Macaca fascicularis: one gene and its partner. The protein of the gene in region 2 purifies or fractionates together with the protein of the main gene of each other region. This does not show direct contact. Links are inferred from orthologs where the notes say so. Each region holds a gene or a part of one and is shown on either strand. Other genes may lie near its edges.

Evidence for each region.
Region 1: the proteins of ATP1A1 (region 2) and HADHB fractionate together in Homo sapiens (co-fractionation; 3 studies listed by BioGRID, with this or other methods). This does not show direct contact. The link is inferred for Macaca fascicularis from reciprocal best matches to the Homo sapiens genes ATP1A1 and HADHB.

The regions. Positions count from the first base shown.
Region 1 is NC_088387.1:95,960,781-95,964,432, forward strand, and holds part of HADHB (trifunctional enzyme subunit beta, mitochondrial), read right to left. Parts: intron 2,453-3,652; coding exon 2,365-2,452; intron 614-2,364; coding exon 426-613; intron 94-425; coding exon 1-93. UniProt on the Homo sapiens protein: Mitochondrial trifunctional enzyme catalyzes the last three of the four reactions of the mitochondrial beta-oxidation pathway.
Region 2 is NC_088375.1:118,010,998-118,014,649, reverse strand, and holds part of ATP1A1 (sodium/potassium-transporting ATPase subunit alpha-1), read left to right. Parts: intron 1-900; coding exon 901-1,011; intron 1,012-1,681; coding exon 1,682-1,741; intron 1,742-3,652. UniProt on the Homo sapiens protein: This is the catalytic component of the active enzyme, which catalyzes the hydrolysis of ATP coupled with the exchange of sodium and potassium ions across the plasma membrane.

The DNA of each region.
Region 1 (3,652 bases), on a different chromosome or scaffold from region 2:
CTGTTCCAGCCGAGAAACAGCAAAGGCGGCAGCCAGTCGGTCTGCAGAGTGGCCCATGGTCTCACTGGTGGAGAACTCAGCAACCGCAGGAAGCTGGGAAAGGAGATATCCGAGAAGCAGGTACACTGTTAACAGGCGTTCTTCCAACACCTAGGATTGTTCTGTGTTATTTGGAAAAGTTAAAATCTATTTGTTTACCATTAATCAATCAAGACCAAGACAAGGGAAGTCCTTTGTCAGCAGAGGATCTCTAAAGAGGGCTCACAAATTAAAGTTTTCTACCCACTATGTTTTTTTTTCAACTTTACCAAATAACCCTTTCCTGTAACTACAGAATCTACACCTACTACAGCATAGCAGAGTCCACATTGCCATACCTAATTCTAAATCTCTGCAGTGGGATGCCCTGCAAACACAAGCCTTACCTCAGGTGCTAGGAAATTCAATCGGAATTTAGAGATTAAAGACAGTCGCTGGCCCATAGATTTGGCCTTATTGAGATCAAGCATCAGTTTTCTCATTTTCCTTGAGTGACGAATAGGGATATCGGACATCAACTCAACACCACCTGCCACGATCACATCACACTGGCCAGAAGCAATCAAGCCAACGCCTACAGGGCACAGGTTATACTTCATGAATATCTTTTACAGAAAATAACATACCATTCCAATTTAAGCTTCTTGATTAAAAGGCTGAATAACAGTTATCAGCTTTGTACAACATCTGTAATTAAAGTTTTCAACTTTTCAGAAGAATTAAGGTAATTGTTTTAAATGACTAAAAACACATTCAACACGTTAGAGAAAAACAAGTTTTCATTCCTGCCATATGGACATCAACTTCTAGAAATATCCATTGGACCAACTCTTGAACAAATCATTATTCCAAACCAGAACATCTTGCATATTTATGCGCTCCCAGCTTTAGTTTTAAGAAATATTTTTTTATCTTATAAAGAGAATGTTAACTTCTGCTACAAAGCAGAGAAATTCCAGCTGTTAAAATGTAAGGCAGGCCCCCTCTCTCCTTATGGCCACTATTCTCTTTTTTTCTTTTTTGAGACGGAGTCTCGCTCTGTCTCCCAGGCTGGAGTGCAGTGGTGCGATCTTGGCTCATTGCAAGCTCCGCCTCCCGGGTTCACACCATTCTCCTGCCTCAGCCTCCCAAGTAGCTGGGACTACAGGCGCCTACCACCATGCCTGGCTAATTTTTTTTTTTGTATTTTTAGTAGAGACAGGGTTTCTCTGTGTTAGCCAGGATGTTCTCGATCTCCTGACCTCGTGATCCACCCACCTTGGCCTCCCAAAGTGTTGGGATTACAGGCGTGAGCCACCGCGCTGAGCCTATTCTGTTTCTCTAACCAAGAGTTGGTCACATGCTGCCTAGAGTGGTGAACACCCCCAGTCACAGGCATCATTCCCTGCCACATATGAAGTGGGCTGCCCACCTGGGCCTTGATGTTACTAGACGAGCATATGATTACTAAATCTTTCAGATTTCCTGTCTCTTCACACTACGGGCTGATGCTACAAAATACCCCGTAATTTTGTTAAAATTTGTTAGGGGAATTTTCAATGATTTATAAAAATGCCAAGGATGCGGGAAGAAAGTGAAGGAAAGAGCTGTGCCATCTAAAGCAATGATTTACAAGTATGGTAGTGGTGAAGGAAGGAAGACCATATCTTTGTGGGAAAATATCATATCTGAAGCACTAGGTTGAAAGCCTGGCAGGTTGTAAACTATTTACTCATGCTTCAGATGCTTAAGTACCTTCCTAGAGATATACTCCTCCATTTGATAATCCCTGCTGCAGCCAGCCACATTATTCACAGAGGAACCACGCCAATGGTAACATCCCTCAGGTATGGAGAGCAAAAAGAGAGGTTAACTATGGTTAGAACTCCCAAATTTTAAACTTGACCTTTCTTTTTAAAAAACACAAGTAGAGATCTGTGCTAATCTATCACTTCTCCTAAGAGTACTTTTTGGGATGAGCTTGGTGGCTCATGCCTGTAATCCCAGCACTTTGGAGGTTGAGGTAGAAGGATCACTTGAGGCCAGAGGTGTAAGACCAGCCTGGGCAACATGGCGAGATCCTGTCTCCACAGAAAACTGAAAAATTAGCTGGGTGTGGTGGAGTGCCTGTAGACCCAGCTACTTGGGATCCTAAGGCAGGAGGATCTCCTGAGTTCAAGAGTTTGAGCCTGCAGTGAGCTACGATGGTGCCAATGCACTGCAGCCCGAGTGACAGAGTGAGATTCTGTTTAAAAAAAAAAAAAAAAAAAAAAGTACATTTTTATAATCAAGTAAAAGACAAAGGAGGAAAATTAACATGTGCCGTCTGCTTCCATTTAAACATACCTGTGGTCATGGCTTGGTTGGCAGAGATACAAGCCATGGTGACAGTGTGAGCAGGAGTCTTGTCAGAGAAGCCAGCTCCAAGGGCAGCCTTCAGGAAATACAGTGAATGAAATGATCACTCTAAGGGAAGGGCATCATGTAAATGATGCTTTGAACACTAATCTTTATGGTCATCTGAAAAGGGTTTCAGTTTAAAATTCTCCAGAGCAATATTTAAAATAAAATTAAGCCTATCACAGAAATGGTTTACTAATATTTAATCATGCCATTAATTGACAGGTATATGCAAAATTCCTGCTGGCTGGTTTCTAGTGCAGACACGAGGCTATAATACTCTTCTAACTCACCTAATTTCTTATCGATGCTTTGCTCAGGGCCTTCAAGGATATCAATATATAATTTGATTTTAACTTGTTTAATGTTCAAATATACTTAAAGGAACCTATTAAAGACAGTTGGTGAAATGATGATGAAATATATTATGGGTTGGAGTCTTCACAATCTGTGTTATCAGGTCTCATGATCAGTCACAAAGCTTAGCAGCAAAGCAAAAGTGATTAAACATGAAAATGATTTCTAAAGAACTGACCATTCATAAACAGAGTTCCCACTCAAGACCCTATTTGCTTTACACCTATCTTTCTGCTCACGGCCAGCTGTTCTCTCTTACTGACCATCTGATACTTTGGTTAGCACACTGCAGACCCAATGCAAAGATGAACTGGAAAACTTGCCAACTATACAGAAGCTCAACTCAATGAAAGAAACTGGAGAATTGCCTGAGTTACAAGTGAGCCTGTGAACAAGTAAGGGTCAGACCAGTTAACAAGTGGCCAGGATGATGGCATAATAGGTGATACAGAGAGAATAATTTGTCATCTGAGCGGCTTTAAGAAAAACTGAGGTCATCATTAATCTTGTAAAAATGGCCTCTATTATAATGGCACAGTGAAAGTCAAACATGAAATGAGGACATCTATAATTTTATTATACTATTTATTGGGGGAAATTATGCTGCCAAAAACCAATCAATGTCTGATCCCATTTTTGTTTATGTAAATAATTAATGCATAGGTGCAACTGTAAAATACTTATTTTTATAATATTAAAGTTTTACTTTAGAAATAAAGCTTCCAGATTTCCCTCCACATACACACCCACACACTATTTACTATGAAATACTGGATCCCATTATAGGGAATTCATTTTTAGTACTCTTTTCCAAAACTAATTATCCTCAGAATGCAAACTCTCCTATAACTTAGTAAAATAAATGTTTCCAAAGTCT
Region 2 (3,652 bases):
GCGTAGGTGGATCCTGTGAATTATGTGATAATGCACACGCTTTTCCTACATCCTGCTTATGTCAAAACATTTCCAGAGACTTTCATTTGGAGGTTTTATTTTCACGCTACAGAATGGGGTGGGGGCTCCCTTTTTTTTTAATCTCTTATGCAAAGAATTTTAAGGAGTCTTAGGCTGACTTTTTAATATGAGAAGCTGGTAAAGGTGAGTGTTCTTATGTGAGCACTAAAGATATTTAAATTTGATATGTAATAATGTATTTGCAAAGCAAAGAATATAAATAATATAAAAGTACTAGCATTTAGATGTCTTGTATCATTTAATCCTTAAAAACACAAAATGAGGTTGGCAGTATTCTTTATCTCCATGCTATGGAAGAGGAAATTGAAATGTAGGAGTTAGTAACTTGCCTAAGGATACATTGCTGGTAAGTGGTAAAGCCCAGGATTTTAACTCAAGCCTGTCTGATTGAGACTGCGGACTCATAAGCACAATATTGCACTCTAAATTAATAATGTAAAGTTAGTTTCAGTCTTTCAGTAGGGAAGATGGAAGGCTGCAGAATAGGGATTTTGATAGCAAAAATCTCATTAACCCCAAATGGAAGTGGCGCTGGCAGGGCCATTCTGAAGCCTACCGGTGGCTTCATAGGTGTTAAGAGTTTCCCACTGGTCTTAATGCTCTTGGATGGAGAGAATGTATCTTAAGCCAATGTATTAATAGTAGATTGCTTTGCTTATGTAGTATGCAATATACAGGCATACATTTTCTTGACTATTATCTTAATGACTATTCCAAATTATGACTACCTTAAAAACTACCAAAATCCCCTGCTCCAGAATTTTCAGTTTCAGATGAGGTCATAATTCATAGCCTTACTTTTCCCATATTCTCCTACAGGTTGGACGTGATAAGTATGAGCCTGCAGCTGTTTCAGAACAAGGTGATAAAAAGGGCAAAAAGGGCAAAAAAGACAGGGACATGGATGAACTGAAGAAAGAAGTTTCTATGGTAAGTACTAGGAGGAATATTGTATTCCATCCTTATTAAAAATCCATGATTTTTAATCCCCCAAACCTCACTGTATTCTTCAGTCAAAGAACTGCTTTATATTAAAAGAGATCATAGCAGCTGTACAGATCTCATCTTGTTGTAGAGGTTAATATTGAACATTTTCTTTTTAAAAGCTGTTAGAGGATAGGAAAAGTTAATGCAGTCATCTGGCATAACCACAGATCAACAGAAGGAACTTAGGTTGATATCATGAGTCTTTGCTTTTCTCTGTATTATATCAAACACTGGGAAATTCAGCCTCTCCAGGCTATGGAAGCTTCCATCTACTTAACCTGTCTAGAATTGACCTAGTCATCAGAGAAGGCAGATAAGGTTTTACTAGATCCCTGAGAGCTGCTGGGTTTCTCTGAAGTGTTGCGGCAAGTAGTAATGGGCCACCGTCACTCAGCTTCAGCCATTCTCCAGTGAAGAGCTGTCAATGATAGCTGTATGGTTGTGAAGCCATGAAGCGATGGTGAAAAGTGTACCAACTTCTGCACTGAAGAAAACATCTGCACTTCGTTTAATAAGCTTAATGATAGTAATGAGTAATGCTATTTTTTTGTCATTTTTTTATACTACACTGTTTATTTTCTTTGTTTCTGTTTTTTTTTTTTTTTTCCCTTAGGATGATCATAAACTTAGCCTTGATGAACTTCATCGTAAATATGGAACAGACTTGAGCCGGGTATGTTCTAGTTTGAAGGCTGTTGTACAAATCCTAGTTTTCCGTATTGTACTTTCCCCTGTATTGCATACAGGTCTAACTTCAGGGGCTCTAGTAAGAAAACGACAGACACATCTGCGTATCTAGTATGTGACATGCACAGAGCTTGGGCTTTTATATGCTACTGTTTCTTTTCCCTGAAACTTTTTGAAAGTGGATGTTATTTTCTTCTCCCTATTTTATAGTAGTTGAGAGCCAGTAAGTGGGAACACCAGGAGTTGCAGTTGGCTTCAAAGCCATGCTTATGCCTTGACCTTTTGATGATACTTTTTCCCTTTATTTTTCTACATTTGTTAAATTCAGTTGAATATTTCACCTAGTTGAATCTTCAACAGTTCACATTTTTGCCCTTTTCCCAGCTAGTCCGTTGCAGTATGTTATGGTTATACTATCATTTGTTTAGTTATTCCATCATTTATTTGTAAATTGTTTTGCACAAAATTTAAAGAAACCTTTTCATAAAATACACGTTATGTATCCTTGTTATCTAGAGGATTTTGACATTAAATGTGTAACAAATGTTATAAAAGTAAATAGTCTAGGCATGTCTTATTTCCAGATAATCACTGAAAAGTCTGGGAATAACTTGAATAGCAAGCCAATATGTAGTATTTTTTCAGTAAGGCATCAAGAGCCATGGGTACTGTGGTGTTCTGATATATATTGTTTTTTGTCCACAGTTCCTGGTTCATAACTCCCTTAGCCCTTATTACAGTCTTTTGTTATAATGTTGGGTGTGTTAGACCTCGGTGTCAGGCTTCAAGAAACAGGATCTCTCTCCTGCCCTCCTTTCACCTGCCACAAGGCAAGACTCTAATCTTGTTCCACTTTTCTGATTTTCCAGGTAGATAGTGTTGGAATTGAACTGGAGGAAATCTTGGTGGTGGGGAGAAACCGCCACACCTTTGGTCACAGAAGTCATCTTCTGTGTTGATTGTTGTGGTGTAAGAGTAGAGAAGAGGCCGGGTGCAGTGGCTCATTCCTGTAATCTCAGCACTTTGGGAGGCCAAGGCTGGTGGATCACCTGAGGTCAGGAGTTTGAGACCAGCCTGACCACCATAGAGAAACCCCGTCTCTACTAAAAATACAAAATTAGCCGGGTGTGGTGGTGTGTGCCTGTAATCCCAGCTACTCGGGAGGCTGAGGCAGGAGAACTGCTTACACCTGGGAGGTGGAGGTTGCAGTGAGCCGAGGTTGCGCCATTGCACTCCAGCCTGGACAACAAGAGTGAAACTCTGTCTCAAAAAAAAAAAAAAAAAGAAAAGAAAAAAGAAAGAGTAGAGAAGAACGTGGTTTGAGAGCGTTTTTCTTGACACAGGCACTTTAAGCTCCAAGAGGAGGCCTCGACTCGACTCAGAACAACATGCCAACAGTGACTCTGCTCACTGTGTGCCAGGCAGTCTCTGTTGCCACTTCACATCTCACTTAGGTTTTTATTAGAGTCTTAATTAAGTGTGCTCTCTCCGACCTATGCCCATTACTCAAATGCTGTGGGTCTATTTCCTTCCTTGTAAAATGAGGTTAATAATGCCTTAAAAAGGATTGTCATGAGAATTAAACAAGTTAATTAAAACACTGAATTCAGTTCCTGGCATGTAGATAGCACTCAAATGTTTGGTAACATGAGCACAAAATACAGGTAAATAGATTCTTTAGACAAAAATATTTTATTTTTTTTGACTTGATATTTTGAGAGTATAAAAGTGATCATATTTTCCTCTCTTAATGAGAGCTTATATATAATTGCCTGCTGTCAGTGAATCTTGGGTTTAAGACCCATTAGAAAAATAGCAGGCTTTAGTAGATTTTTCCAGTGAGTACTTTTCAGTCAACAGGTTTATTGGGAGTTGGCTAAAATGTACATGGAGGTGA